3 linked regions of the Saccharomyces cerevisiae S288C genome follow. The main gene of each other region encodes a partner of the protein of the gene in region 3 in a complex. Each region holds a gene or a part of one and is shown on either strand. Other genes may lie near its edges. A codon is read from its position in the direction of its gene.

Region 1 (4,384 bases), on a different chromosome or scaffold from region 3:
TATTAGGTCTTTTAGTTGACTCTTCTCTACCAAAATCAAATTATCTGTCCTCCTCGTAAACTTATGAATTTCATCTTTAGATCGTTTTACTTCTAGGATCGCCCTATCTGTTTTGGTTATATGCACTTTACTACTTTTTTGGCCCATTCGATATATACAAAAGCACCAAGTGGAGTTAATTCAGCAGTCTGTACTATTTTTCCAAACTATCTATGTTTTGTTCTTTTCTATGCGCTATATTGTATCCCACAGATAGTAATTCGATTTTCGGTCTTTCTGCTCTTCGGGGTTCCATTTATGTAGAAATAAGAACGATAGCGAAGAGGGTAAAAGATCACGAATAAAAAACGAACGCTGCGTGACAAAATCGGAGCTGTTGCGACTACCGGCAGGATTGATTGCTAATGTTCTTTATTTACTTCTTTTAGATTTCTATGTAAGCTGCTGGTCCATATACAAGTATGCTTCTTAAGAGAGACTGCGTATATATCTTACGTCATTTATTCCCACAGGTTATTCCAAGTCACATTTTTCCTGACAGCGTTAGAGAACCCCTCATTGTATTTCACCCATATTTTAACCGTTTGATTGCAGTCATCTGCTTGGTTGGTTTCGTCTGATCCAATAGTTTTTTGTGTCTCTTCCAATTCCTGAGTTTGCTTCAATAATCCGTACTGATTCTTGAAAAAGTCGATTGTACTTGAGGAAGAATTTAACCCAGTTTTGACTTTTTTGCTATGCATTTCCTGTGACTGTAGTCTATCCTCAGTCACTTGGTCTATATGCCTTTTCTTGGCCCGGTTTTCCTCAATCTTTGCTAACAGTGAACTCAAATTATTAGCCCGTTTATGTTGGACTTCGTTAATATGTTTAGGATTTAACAATACGACTTCATCGATTGGGGGATCGATTGTTAGGCCACCCCTTACATCAAATCCTTCTGACCGATTTTGGATTAGATTCAGTTGAAAGCTTTTCAGCAATTGAACTAATTCCTCCATGATGGCTTGTTTGAGTTTCAGGTTCCTTATTTTATTAAAATCGGAAGAGATCATCGAATCTAGATATGGTAGTATTTCAAAGATTAACGATTTTCTATCCGTAAAACTTGCCATTAGTGGGGACTGAACCGAGATATGTCTCATAATCAGACTAACTATATCTGAATTGGCTCGTTTTAATTCACGTTGTTCGTATTCACTATTCTTCATTCTAATATCATCTTTGTTTGCGATATCGCCAAACGTTTGGAAGAAGACTAGGGGCACAAGGGCGGAGTAACGTAACAATTCGCCATTATGCGCATACATTGATTGGTACATTAAATCATGGAAAAATAGCCAATCTGAAATGTTTGCTGGCTTTCTTATACCATTGTCGGAATATTTTACGTAGGGAAATATATTAAAACAGCCTTGCAATATCCTGTCAGAGTTACCATTAAGCTCTACTTGGTTTAGCAATTCATAAAACTGCTCCTTTATATCACGATGTGGATCCTTTCTAAACAATTGGTTCACGATTTTAAACCATGATATGGGGGAGTCCTTGTTGGATGACGCCCACGTATTTTTTGCACAAGCAGGTTTATCTGATGCAGAGGAATCTCTTGAATCAACATTCGAGGCCAAGAATTGTAAATTGTTTATACAATTCCTTACGTCACCTTGAGCCAAATCAATTAAGTCATTGATTGCTTTTATAGGAATATTCATGTTTTCTTTATGGCAGATAAGGTTCAATCGCTCTAGTAGGGTAGTATCGGAAGGTCTTTTCACAGCAATAATTTCACAGAATGGTTTCAGCTTTTCCAAAGAAGGAGCATATAGATTATTGCAAATACAAATAATAGGTCGCGTAAGCAATTTAGACCTTTTCTTTTTGCGCTTTTTGTCCTTTTTATCTGGTTGACCGTATAATAGTTTATTAGTGGCTTTAATATCGCTTTGCATAATGTCAACTAAAATTCTAATAAATCCACTCTCAATACTTCCATCAATCTCATCCGCCACTAAGCACACAGGATTTGTATCGAAAGTATGATTGAATAAAAGATTATATATTTTCTCTTTTACCATAGGTCCAGCCCTTTCATCACTTGCATTGATTTCTGAGACAGAAAACCCTGATTGTTTGGCAATAACGTGAGCTACTGAGGTTTTGCCTATTCCTGGTGGCCCGTGCAGTAGTAAAATTTTCTTTGGTGGCCTTTTCAATGGATCGAGTTCCATATCACTGACCTCTTTTTCGGTTGGCAATTTGGGTAATTGCTCTTTAAACACAGCCGGCGTCCATTGTCTCAACCAACCTAACATTCTCCTGTTTGTCTTTTCATTACCAACCAAATCTAGAAATTTTTTAGGACGCCATTTCTCTACCCAGAGTGTGTCGCTACCTATCTTGCCAGTTATAGGTGAAGTCTTTTGTGCGTTAGTGCGGTCATCGCCAGATGCCTCAATTTTGTCTAACAAATAGTTTATATTGATGCCGTACGTGTCGTCTGATCTCCAAACAGTATCTGGGTTAGTGTATAGACTAATATTCCCGGTTGCTAACTTCGCAGGCTTCTTCTTTAATTGAACCGTTTCGCCAGTACTTGATACAAACGCGTGAATATCTTCCTCATTAATACCAATTGCATTATTACCAGGGGCTTGTTCTATATCACCAGTATCAAAAAGGGAACTTCTCCCTAGTGAACCAATGTATGGTGCGGTATCAACCATGATCCCTGACCTTACATCCACCTTTTGGGTCAAATAGTGTACACATTAGGAATAAAATATATGAAATCATGTTTATTTACGTGTTAGATGTTCCGTACAACGCGACTGGCTAGTTCGTTTTTTCCACATTTTTTTTTTCAACGTTGATCAACAATAAAATGGTACATCTTCCTTTGTTTGTGTCTTAAGTGTCCTTTCCTGGTATATCGCTTGACCAGCGCCTGTAGCATCAAACCAAACCTTCATCGCCCTAAAACACAATGGTTACAGTATGTTGTTGCTTTTATTTACTTTTTCTTTTTTTGACATTCATTGTGACAATATTCACATTCTTCAGATAGTTCTGTCTATATGAAGCAAAAATGATATATCAATAAGTTTACTAACAAACACAAGTGGTATTACTATGACTTCACTTTAAATAGCAACAAGAAAAGGAATTTTTAGAATCCTACCCTCAAAACTGTCCTCCAGATGCCTTGCCTGGTACTCCAGGAAATTTAGACAGCGCTCAAGAGAAGGCATTGGCAGAACTAAGAAAACTTTTGGAAGACGCTGGTTTCATTGAACGTTTAGACGATTCAACTTTACTACGTTTTTTGAGAGCCAGAAAATTTGATGTTCAATTGGCTAAAGAAATGTTTGAAAACTGCGAAAAATGGAGGAAGGATTATGGTACCGACACTATCTTGCAAGATTTTCATTATGATGAAAAACCATTGATTGCCAAATTCTACCCACAATATTATCATAAAACCGATAAAGATGGCCGCCCAGTATATTTTGAAGAATTAGGTGCTGTTAACTTACATGAAATGAACAAGGTTACCTCTGAAGAGAGGATGTTGAAAAACTTGGTTTGGGAATACGAATCTGTCGTTCAATACAGATTACCTGCCTGTTCAAGAGCTGCTGGTCACCTAGTGGAAACTTCATGTACAATTATGGATTTGAAAGGTATCTCCATATCTAGTGCATACAGTGTTATGTCATATGTTAGGGAAGCCTCCTACATAAGTCAAAACTATTACCCCGAACGTATGGGTAAATTTTACATCATCAACGCGCCATTCGGTTTCTCTACCGCATTTAGGCTATTTAAACCTTTCTTGGATCCAGTCACTGTTTCAAAGATTTTTATCTTGGGTTCTTCTTACCAGAAGGAATTATTAAAGCAAATTCCAGCTGAAAACTTACCAGTCAAATTTGGCGGTAAGTCTGAAGTTGATGAATCCAAGGGTGGGTTATACCTATCCGATATCGGTCCATGGAGGGATCCAAAGTATATTGGACCGGAAGGTGAAGCTCCGGAAGCCTTTTCGATGAAATGATATTATTTTTAAAGACATTTTTTTTTCGAGAGAGAAAAGAGGAGTTCTAAGTAACGATATTTTACAACTGAGATAAGTACAAGTATGCTTATTTACTCTATTCTACTTTTTTGAATAGGCATAGTTCACACTTTTATCTCCTTAGTTTGTACTACTCTTTTTTTATTTTTTTTTTTTCTTCCACTCAGCTATTAGATTATTTATTATTTTATTATCTGTGGTATCATTTTCTACAGCCATACCTTGATTTTAGTTTATTTTGTTGGCAGTTATATACATTTATCTTATAGAATACATATGCACGTATTAAACAATAAAAAGAACATA
Region 2 (7,539 bases), on a different chromosome or scaffold from region 3:
CAACGAGTTTTCAACACTATCTTCCTTATCTTGTTTTTTTACATTAACTATTTGGGTAGGTCTTTGCGTCCCTGAATTCAATTTTAGATAGCTCTGCTTTGTCTTTAGCATACTATCCAATATGATCATCATCCAATCCTCAAATTCGGGCTGATATATTGGTGACAGAAACTTCTTTAGTTGCCATTGCGAAACAGCGGTATAATCCTGATTTTCCTTTTCCTCTATTTCAATACATGCTAATCCACTAAAATTAAACTTATCCATCCATATTAGCAGATCCCAATAACGTTTGATATTTAAGTCCAGATAACTAAACATTGGATTTGTTCTAACTGCCTTCATCATATATTGGCTGTAGGCGTAACAGTTTTCAGGTGAGTACTTGTTTGTCTTTATTAGAATTTGATTCCTGTCTGCATATACAATAGTTGAGCCAAGTGCACTAAATTCATTTACTAATTGAAGTAAGGCTTTTTTTGTTAAGTTATGAACGTGATATCTTAGTAATCCGTCGAATAGTTTCGCATTCGGGTTTTGAACCCAACTTGCCAGGGAATTTACCAACAAATCTGCGGTTGAATTTTCTTTTAGGGCCTCATCCCACCACTCCTTTAACATACCTCTTAAAACATTCAAAGCGTCATTAGAAAAGGCGTCGTGCACGAATTCAGATGGCGAGTTAATAACGGCATCTTTGTCATCTATACCCATATTATTGTTAACTAGATCACTGCCTTCAGCATCATTGATTAATGCTGATGTCAAAATTGTGTTCACTGTTAAATTATCAACACCAACATCGAGAACTACATTGTCATACACACCTGAGTTATTAATTTTGGGAAATTCTGAATCATTCATTATCCATGATGTATTTAAATCAAAATCATTTTGAATGCCTCCATGATCTGGAAGTGGAGCTTTCTCATTCCACCAAAGCACGATGTTCTCTTTTTTTAGTTTTCTTGCATAAAGAACATCAATAATATAATCCATACTATCCAGCCTCAAATTACAGATTGGAATGTTACTATACTGGGATAACTTGATCAAGTGAGAAATCCACGAACCACTGGATAAAACGTGGTTAACAAGTTTCTTCAATAATGTCGGTTGCCAGTTCAATTGGGGTAGAAGAACTTCATTCAAGGAAAGCTTAACAATGGGCATCTGGTTTAGAAGCCGGATTGTGCCTAAGAGCTTAGTGATAAACGGAGATTGTAACAAGAGTAAAAACTGCAGACCTCTTTCTTCTTTTAATTTAGTAGTTTCCTGTGATAGTCTTCTGTACAATTTTGAGATATCTGTAAAATATACAAACTCAAAATTGATATCTTCTTTAATATCAACCAAGTAAGAATATGTTTCTATTTTACCTTTCTTTTTTTCAAACATTTGTTTGTATATTTGTCCTAATGATGAGGCATTTATTTCCTGAGCCTGGTTGGATGGTTTCAAAACTAATATAGTAATAGTATCTCCCCATGACTTGAATAATGAAAAAAATTCATACCCAATTGATGTTGGGAAATGTAGTAAATAGCCAATGTCCATTGAAAATCCACTCAGATACCTTTCATTTTCCGCCATTGAAAGATCCTTCATTTCAAAACCCTGCTGTATTCCCTTGCCTAACGCACCCATTGCTTTTGAGCGGAACGTTACCGAAGCTCCCAAATCCATGATCGCTCTTTGATGAGGAGTGATAGTGCCCTCAAATACACCAAGTACATTTTCATCGTTGAAGATACTAGTGCAGTTTTCCTTTTCTTCCAGAAAGACAGATTCCGGTAGAGTAATTTTGAATAGCTGACCGCCTGCTGGATTAGACGTTTTGGGATTATTTGGTAACGATGCAGAAGATTTTTCAATAAGGCAATTCTTAATCTTTTGTAGCGGCATTGTTTGAGATTTGAATTTCATATAAATAGTTTTTGGTATATGGAAGGTGATGTTCTGGACTTTGCCATTAATTGTTACAAATACTTCCAAAACCCCTGGCTCACCGGAATCCTTGTATTGTAAGACCTCCCAAGTGGAGTTCGCATATGATTCAGCTTGCTTCCTAATCATACTTCCTAGTGCACTTCTTTCACGGGAGCTGTTTGTATTACCAAATAATTGGTCTCGACGCTTTCTATCTCTTGCTTGGATTTTCCATTTAATTTTTTGATAATTTAGCCACCCAACATAGTCCTCGTCCATGGAAGGAATCTCCGAGGGCAATACTAGTGGATCTTCTTCATTTGTAAGCTGATTTCTTTTCCTCTTGGATACGGCTTTCTTTTTAGTAGTTCTTGCAATTTTAATTTTGGCGTTATCTTCTTCTACAGTTGGTTCAAACAAATCCTCGATATCTTTTATCTTGCCCATTGTTGGTACATTCTTTGTCTTCGAAAAAAATTTGGTTAGTGAAGTCTGCTTAAACTTATCCTCCTTTGTAGCGATTTTTCTTTTTAGCCAATCTGGATGTTCAACCCTTGGAACAGGATTGGAAACCCCTTGTAATGCTGCTGGAATAGTAATTATCTTTTGTATAGCAGATCCAAGTCTTTCTCTATAATAACCCCAATCGATTATGGTTCTGATATCCAGATCTTCCAAAGATGGATCTAATGTCCATCGCCTCAGAAAAGACCTTTTGATGGGAATGTCCGCTGAAAATATTGCGACTGGAATGGCTCGTTCAGTAACAGGTGCATTGAAAGGTTTTGAACTAATAATATATTTACATTGTAGACCTTTATCTTTTACCATATCTTCACCCAAAAAATCCCCCAATCTCCTTGCCGTCGTAATAGAAGTAGATTTTTGCCCTTCATATTCCTTTAAAGTTTTTGACATACTTCTATTTTCACAAATCAAACTGACCAAGTCTTCATCTTCTAACATAAGACCATGTGAATCAAGAACATCTAACCAACGGTTACATACGCTTGCTACAGCACTGTAACATCCTTCTAATGTATCACCTTCCAAAAAGACCTTGAAAATATCACTTTGAAAATTTTTTATTAGTTGTAATTCACCACGCCTCTTCAATTCAAAACCTTTCAGTTCAGCAAGTGAGCCGTCTTCATTGAAGACAGCATATCTTTTCTTTATACCTTTTCCTTCTTCCTTGGAACTAGGCAAAATCATGGCCTTATATGGTCCGTCAACTTCGAAAAAAATCGTGTTTTCACTGTGCGTCTCATATATATAGTTCAATGGGTCTTTTAATTCTTGGTATTGGTGATTCGTAAACTTTTGGTGAACTCTGTAATTCAGCATGGAACATGGGTAGGAGAGATAAAGCTTTTTACCATTTTCTAATGTAAAAAAGTAAGTTTCAGGGAAAGATTTTGGTAAGATACACCAAATACCATCAGTATCTAATTCTAATGGTCTTCCTACCCTTTCTACTAAAGCTCTCGCCATTTGAATGATCGTGGCACCTGTTAAACACGTAATCCCCGCCATTTCCATGGAATACCAACGAGAGCCTTTCCTCATAACATACCCATAAAACGAATTCAAAATAACTTTGTGAGCTAATTGTAATGAGTCATAAAGCACAATCATCTTTTTGGCCTCGTCTCTCGCATGCTTATCAGATGGGTCAATTTTGGACAGATTTCCCTTCCAAGTCTTGGCTAAACCTTTGAATTCGTAACGCCTATCACGAAAGGATTTCACGGTATCGACGTAGAATGGATTTTCTCTTTGGCAGACAATGGCTTCTCGTTCGACAATTTCTGATACTTTAACCCTATGATAAACTTTCCTTGAATATTCAGTTAAACGTTTTTTTATGTGGATAACTTGGTCTGCGTAACTTAGTTCATCAAATGTCAAAACTTTCTTTTTAGAAAACTTGTTTTTGTTGGGAAAAGTCTCATTTTGTAATGCACGCTTGATCATGTTATACTCATCCATCTTACTGGGAAAGAATTCTCCTCTCCAAGCCCATTTTAACTTTCTTGCACAGGTTTTTCCGGGTCTATTAAAATCGCAACTAGCACAATCGCGCTCTGCTTTGATACTATCTGGTTGTAGTCTATTTGTAGTCATGATGTTTGGGTACATAGAGGCGACATCTACATGATAGATCAAAGGTAGTTCGTTTCTTATATTGTTTTCCTTCAACTCTAATAATTTCTGCGTTATCTGGTTTTTTATTTCCTCAAAATTCGTTACTTTATCTACACTGGACTTATTTTCAACTTCCACACTAAATTTCAAAGCTTCTGGTAATTCTTGTAATAATTCATCAATGGCAGAAGGATCTATCTTGAATTCATTCTTCAAATCACTCCTAAAAACACCAGCTTCTAATGACTCCACATGTCCACCCACGTAAGTCTCGGATTCTAGAAGATGTCCATCATAGAACCTCTCAATGGGATCTGTATGCTTATTTGGTAGAAGAATATTATGTTGATAAGCTTGAACCATCAACAACATTTCACACAAAGTACCGGTACCCTTTCTCAATGTTTCATCCGGGTTCAAAGGAATAATAGTACAAAGGGAAAAGATAAAAGGATGAACATATTTCATGTAAAGGTAATACGTAGCGACTGCATCGGAAACAGAATATTCGGAAAGGTGCTGTGGCTTTTCAAATGCATACGGCGTCATTAATTCGGGATCCAGTTCAATTGGGTTATAACCTAGCTTAGATTGAGTAACAGCTTTTAAACCCTGGGAACCTTGTGGTAAATAAGAATCACGCTTCACCCAACGGAAACAATCCATGTGAGAGCAGTATGAGGACTTGTACTCACCTTCAGCATCTGGAGCGAAACCAATTTCATCGAACATGTCCAAGCCGTGAATCTTACTTCTGTTATGTATAAAAGGCCAATCGAAAAAGTCACCATTGAAGGTGGATATAACAGTGGGTCGTACATCTCTTATATGTTCAAAAAACCTTTGTAGAAGCGCCACTTCATCGTTTTCGTTAAATATGGTGAAAAAACCAGGATACTCCGGTTTCGGTGTATACTCAAAGTCTTCAATATCCTCAGAGATTATCTCCCTATTTGTTATCAAAAAACCTTCCCCATCGATCATATACGAAATCATCATTATTTGATCTACGGCGGAATCCGGGAATTTTAAAGGCGGCTTCGTGGTTTCTATATCAAATGCCATTACCACAGGGTCGGCAAATGCAATTTTCCTAGTATCTTCAATGAATCCCTGTTGAGTTACCTTATACCATTTACCGACTCTAATGTCCTTGTCTATAGATACTCGGACATGATACGGCACATCATATTCCCTGATATCTTCGATCAGATGTTTGGCGTCAACTTTTTCCGAGCCATTTGCAGCAACGTTATATATATTTCTTTGCACATTATTATTGGCATTATCCTGCAAGATTGGCCTCAGGAGTTTCCTGGCCTCGAATAACTGATTGGAATTTACAAATGATAACTTAATAAGTGTCTTCTGCAGCCCTAAAAGGTGATTGTCCATGGTAAGATCTTCCTTTCTAATGATTTGTAAGCTTTTGAGACAAGATTCCAGATATTTTTTCACTAGTTCCTCCACATCATTTACTCTTGATTCATCGTTACACGCAATAAAGAAGTATGGGTCATAGACAACTGTCGACTTGAAGCTCCCACCCTCTTCATCTAAAAAGTAGAAGTCAACTCCGGAAATACCTTGGTTGGTCGTTACACGTTCTCCGTCATTCGAATTGCCGCCGCCATTACTACCACTGGATAAGGTTTCCTGAGAGACCAGCGTTGCGTGCATGTTCGTCAGCCACCCTACGCGGCCTGGAATCTGATCTATATCCTTCGCATCAAACCTGCCATTGTATTGCGGCGGTACGTATCTTTCAAATCCCATCATCGAATCGATGTCATCGATCTTACTAGCATTTAAGAGCTGTTGCGCGCTAAGCGCATAATTATTTGAGAGTGTGTTGTACTTGTTGCCAGCTGAATATCTTGCAGTGGAAGATCCTCCGTTGTTTTTTTTCTTGCCAAACATCATATACTTGTCCCCTGAGAGTGTTATCTTGATAGAATGTGCTCTTTCATCATCATATGCTCTTTTTGATAGGTCCTCTTCCAGTTAAAATGGTAAAAGATGCAAGAAACTTACGCGTTCTGGTTACCCTACCTGAAAATAAACCATTCTGACAATTCAAATGACAATAAACTTGGGCCTTTGACGAACACTGACAGTGTTACTATTACTTTTTCTCAGTGCTAAAACAGCATATCCGAGACTCTGTATCAAGATCCATATTGCACACCAGAGCTGTTGTTTTATACTACAACTCATCTTTTTGACTTTTCGATTGTAAGACCTCGCTACTGAGTATCAATAGCAGAAAACGAAAACCAAAGGCCCATACCAAGATGTCTTATAATCCGTACGCATATGCAACAAGTGAGCAGAATGGCGTTAACGATCGCTTTTCCCACACTCCACAACAGCAACGACCAATGCAAATTCCGAGGAACACGCCCGTGAATGGCCAAGGTAATGCGAATATGAATGCAAACGTAAATGGCAGTGGCGGTGGTTTTCCATTCCAAGATCCTCGTGGTTCGATGGCATTCCAACTAGGGCAGAGCGCATTTTCTAATTTTATTGGTCAGGATAACTTTAACCAGTTTCAAGAAACGGTCAATAAAGCCACTGCAAACGCTGCCGGCTCTCAACAAATTTCAACGTATTTTCAAGTCAGCACCCGTTATGTCATCAATAAATTGAAACTCATCCTAGTTCCTTTTCTTAACGGAACCAAGAACTGGCAACGAATTATGGACTCTGGCAACTTTTTGCCACCAAGGGATGACGTGAACTCCCCAGACATGTACATGCCTATTATGGGACTAGTTACCTATATTCTCATCTGGAATACGCAGCAAGGTCTGAAGGGTTCATTCAACCCCGAAGACTTGTACTACAAACTGTCTTCTACTCTGGCGTTTGTGTGTTTAGATTTGTTGATTTTGAAGCTTGGCTTGTATCTTTTGATCGATTCTAAGATTCCAAGCTTCAGTTTGGTCGAACTGTTGTGCTATGTCGGCTACAAATTTGTTCCATTGATTCTCGCCCAGCTTTTGACCAACGTGACCATGCCATTTAACCTGAATATTTTGATAAAATTTTACTTATTTATTGCCTTTGGCGTATTCCTACTAAGATCCGTCAAGTTCAATTTACTAAGCCGCTCCGGTGCTGAAGACGATGATATACACGTTTCCATCAGCAAATCGACCGTCAAGAAGTGCAATTACTTCCTATTCGTCTATGGCTTCATTTGGCAAAATGTTCTAATGTGGTTAATGGGTTGATCTTGATTGAAGAGATCAAAGAGAGGATTTAATTTCATGCGCATTATTATTATCTACGGTCAATTTGTTAAATACTTATATACTTTTATTCCTACGTCATAAATTTTCTATTTACTTTTCTTATTTTTCCTTTCACTCAATATGGAGTGGAAAGAGAACAATAGAGGGATTAAAATTCGTGGGAAAAATCACGCTTTTTAGATAGATTTAATTTACATCATTG
Region 3 (3,375 bases):
CATTGCATCCGGTCGAGATGAAGGCAGCTTTGAAGCTGAAGTTTTGCAGAACACCGCTATTCTCCATCTATGATCAGTCCACGTCTCCATATCTCTTGCACTGTTTCGAACTGTTGAACTTGACCTCCAGATCGTTTGCTGCTGTGATCAGAGAGCTGCATCCAGAATTGAGAAACTGTGTTACTCTCTTTTATTTGATTTTAAGGGCTTTGGATACCATCGAAGACGATATGTCCATCGAACACGATTTGAAAATTGACTTGTTGCGTCACTTCCACGAGAAATTGTTGTTAACTAAATGGAGTTTCGACGGAAATGCCCCCGATGTGAAGGACAGAGCCGTTTTGACAGATTTCGAATCGATTCTTATTGAATTCCACAAATTGAAACCAGAATATCAAGAAGTCATCAAGGAGATCACCGAGAAAATGGGTAATGGTATGGCCGACTACATCTTAGATGAAAATTACAACTTGAATGGGTTGCAAACCGTCCACGACTACGACGTGTACTGTCACTACGTAGCTGGTTTGGTCGGTGATGGTTTGACCCGTTTGATTGTCATTGCCAAGTTTGCCAACGAATCTTTGTATTCTAATGAGCAATTGTATGAAAGCATGGGTCTTTTCCTACAAAAAACCAACATCATCAGAGATTACAATGAAGATTTGGTCGATGGTAGATCCTTCTGGCCCAAGGAAATCTGGTCACAATACGCTCCTCAGTTGAAGGACTTCATGAAACCTGAAAACGAACAACTGGGGTTGGACTGTATAAACCACCTCGTCTTAAACGCATTGAGTCATGTTATCGATGTGTTGACTTATTTGGCCGGTATCCACGAGCAATCCACTTTCCAATTTTGTGCCATTCCCCAAGTTATGGCCATTGCAACCTTGGCTTTGGTATTCAACAACCGTGAAGTGCTACATGGCAATGTAAAGATTCGTAAGGGTACTACCTGCTATTTAATTTTGAAATCAAGGACTTTGCGTGGCTGTGTCGAGATTTTTGACTATTACTTACGTGATATCAAATCTAAATTGGCTGTGCAAGATCCAAATTTCTTAAAATTGAACATTCAAATCTCCAAGATCGAACAGTTTATGGAAGAAATGTACCAGGATAAATTACCTCCTAACGTGAAGCCAAATGAAACTCCAATTTTCTTGAAAGTTAAAGAAAGATCCAGATACGATGATGAATTGGTTCCAACCCAACAAGAAGAAGAGTACAAGTTCAATATGGTTTTATCTATCATCTTGTCCGTTCTTCTTGGGTTTTATTATATATACACTTTACACAGAGCGTGAAGTCTGCGCCAAATAACATAAACAAACAACTCCGAACAATAACTAAGTACTTACATAATAGGTAGAGGCCTATCCTTAAAGATAACCTTATATTTCATTACATCAACTAATTCGACCTTATTATCTTTCGAATTGAAATGCATTATACCCATCGGTACGTCTAGCTTTGTCACCTTCCCCAGTAAACGCTGTTTCTTGCCGACAAACAATGTGGCCCTCTCTCCGTCAATCTGTAACGACCCAAATCGTATTAAAGTTTCGCCGTCCTGTTCACTGAACCTTCCCTCATTTGGAGAATCTCTCCTCGCCAGCGACGCAAAGTCCTTAGGCAACTCTAGTTCACCTTGAATCTCCAGCATCATCATCCCAAGCGGTGTTATCACCGTGGTCTGCTTTTCTCTTGACTGTGTCAACTTCTGCCATTGACTAGCATCTATATCTACACTAGGCATTCTTTTCAGCTGTTTATTGGGCTGAATGATAGTGATAATTCTTTTTTCTATCACTCCTTTGGCTATATTAGTGGTTAGCTTACTAAAAAAGATTAAAGGAAAAATGAAATTCAAGATGCTAACGTTGACATGTATATTTTAAGAAAACAAAAATCATACAAAGAGGAGATCGGATATAAAAGAATAACATAAATATGTTTAGTGCATTAGGTAAATGGGTCCGAGGCTCTCGCAATGATAAGGACTTTGTGACGAAGTATACCGCAGATTTATCACAAATAACTTCACAGATCCATCAATTAGATGTCGCGTTAAAGAAAAGCCAATCCATCTTGAGTCAATGGCAATCAAATCTGACCTTTTATGGTATTGCGTTAACGGTATTGGCCCTGAGCTACACATATTGGGAGTACCATGGTTATCGACCATACCTTGTGGTGACTGCGCTACTATGCATAGGCTCGCTAATCTTGTTCAAATGGGCATTAACCAAACTCTATGCATTTTATAACAACAATAGGTTACGCAAGTTGGCAAAACTCCGTGCAATTCATCAAAAGAAACTGGAAAAGTTAAAGGAAGAGACCCACTATAATGCTACAAGCTCAATCATCCAACGGTTTTCTTCCGGTGAAGATCAAAACGACGATGCCATGGTACTTCTAGATGATGAATTAAATGCTAAATACCAAGAATTAAACAATCTAAAGACAGAGCTAGAAAAATTTAAGAAGGAAAGCCATGTAAAGGGCCTAAAGAAGGAAGACAGCGATGCATGGTTCGACAAAATCATCAGCGTACTGGCAGGCGGTAATGAATTGGACTCAACAAGTTCGCTCTCTCCCTTCAAAAAAATCATATGTCCACAGTGTCATTGGAAATCCAATTGCTACAGATTGGCCAGTAAGCCAATCATCTTTATCTGTCCTCACTGTAACCACAAAATAGACGAAGTAAAGGAAAGAGAAGACGCCATTGAAGCAAAACAACCGGCACAGCCTTCGCAGTCGGAGAAGGAAAAAACAAAATGATTTTGCGTTAGAATAACTACGTACCCCTATATAATATATTTTTATATCATTATTTAGACAAGGACATGATAGCGTTGACTAAGTCACCATTGTGAGCTTTCAGGGCTTTGATGGCTTGGTTTTTGGAAACGTTAGTTTGTTGAACGACTAACTCGATATCATCCTTATTCAAGTCACCGGCATCAACTTCACCTTCTTCGTCATCTTCTTCTGCTGCGGCGTTGACACTGCCTTCTGCGGCGGCTTGCATGTCAGCTTGGATGTCTTCTGGGGACTTGGTAGCGACGTCTTCGTTAGATGGCATAATACCGCTAGCTTGAGCTTGTTGTTGAGCAGCGGCTAGCTTTTGGGTAAAGTTGTCAACCTTAGCTTCACCGAAGACAACGTAGTTACCACCGGCAGATCTGAAGACTTCTGGCTTTTCAATAGCATAGATTTGGTTGTCCTTCTTCCTGAAAGTGACTCTGATGATACCTGGGATTTGCTTCAAACCCAATTTGCCAATCAATTCTCTGGCTTTCTTTTCGTTCTTGTTTAAGACGGTAACGTTGGCGTTTTCTGGGATAGCAGACATTATCA

What was found. The genes of interacting proteins can lie anywhere in the genome.
Region 1: the proteins of CTF8 (region 3) and CTF18 are in contact, whole or in part, in a crystal structure (PDB 5OKC), measured with the Saccharomyces cerevisiae proteins. Residues at the interface, in NP_012061.3 of Saccharomyces cerevisiae: Pro2 (codon at 1,762), Ser3 (codon at 1,759), Val4 (codon at 1,756), Ile35 (codon at 1,663), Gln36 (codon at 1,660), Gly37 (codon at 1,657), Glu38 (codon at 1,654), Leu39 (codon at 1,651), Glu40 (codon at 1,648), Leu41 (codon at 1,645), Pro42 (codon at 1,642), Leu48 (codon at 1,624), Arg51 (codon at 1,615), Arg58 (codon at 1,594), Phe59 (codon at 1,591), Ile68 (codon at 1,564), Arg69 (codon at 1,561), Phe70 (codon at 1,558), Val84 (codon at 1,516), Gly85 (codon at 1,513), Lys86 (codon at 1,510), Gln88 (codon at 1,504), Leu90 (codon at 1,498), Phe106 (codon at 1,450), Asn107 (codon at 1,447), Ser108 (codon at 1,444), Asn111 (codon at 1,435), Lys112 (codon at 1,432), Val113 (codon at 1,429), Lys126 (codon at 1,390); in NP_013795.1 of Saccharomyces cerevisiae: Thr715 (codon at 584), Val716 (codon at 581), Lys717 (codon at 578), Ile718 (codon at 575), Trp719 (codon at 572), Val720 (codon at 569), Lys721 (codon at 566), Tyr722 (codon at 563), Asn723 (codon at 560), Glu724 (codon at 557), Gly725 (codon at 554), Phe726 (codon at 551), Trp736 (codon at 521), Leu739 (codon at 512), Trp740 (codon at 509), Glu741 (codon at 506).
Region 2: the proteins of CTF8 (region 3) and POL2 are in contact, whole or in part, in a cryo-EM structure (PDB 6S2F), measured with the Saccharomyces cerevisiae proteins. Residues at the interface, in NP_012061.3 of Saccharomyces cerevisiae: Glu40 (codon at 1,648), Lys87 (codon at 1,507), Gln88 (codon at 1,504), Arg128 (codon at 1,384), Leu130 (codon at 1,378), Pro131 (codon at 1,375), Met133 (codon at 1,369); in NP_014137.1 of Saccharomyces cerevisiae: Arg1025 (codon at 2,928), Met1036 (codon at 2,895), Leu1037 (codon at 2,892), Glu1038 (codon at 2,889), Glu1040 (codon at 2,883), Asp1041 (codon at 2,880).

The regions. Positions count from the first base shown.
Region 1 is NC_001145.3:422,003-426,386, forward strand, and holds CTF18 (Ctf18p), read right to left. Parts: upstream 2,727-4,384; coding exon 501-2,726; downstream 1-500. Other genes in the region: ESCRT-III subunit protein VPS20, read right to left, coding at 1-147; phosphatidylinositol/phosphatidylcholine transfer protein SEC14, read left to right, coding at 2,987-2,995, 3,152-4,057. UniProt on the Saccharomyces cerevisiae protein: Essential for the fidelity of chromosome transmission. Required for the DNA replication block checkpoint.
Region 2 is NC_001146.8:146,673-154,211, reverse strand, and holds the start of POL2 (DNA polymerase epsilon catalytic subunit), read right to left. Parts: upstream 6,001-7,539; coding exon 1-6,000. Other genes in the region: protein transporter YIF1, read left to right, coding at 6,372-7,316. UniProt on the Saccharomyces cerevisiae protein: Catalytic component of the DNA polymerase epsilon complex which participates in chromosomal DNA replication.
Region 3 is NC_001140.6:484,867-488,241, forward strand, and holds CTF8 (Ctf8p), read right to left. Parts: upstream 1,766-3,375; coding exon 1,364-1,765; downstream 1-1,363. Other genes in the region: ERG9 (bifunctional farnesyl-diphosphate farnesyltransferase/squalene synthase), read left to right, coding at 1-1,313; LNP1 (Lnp1p), read left to right, coding at 1,960-2,796; EGD2 (Egd2p), read right to left, coding at 2,846-3,370. UniProt on the Saccharomyces cerevisiae protein: Essential for the fidelity of chromosome transmission. Required for the DNA replication block checkpoint.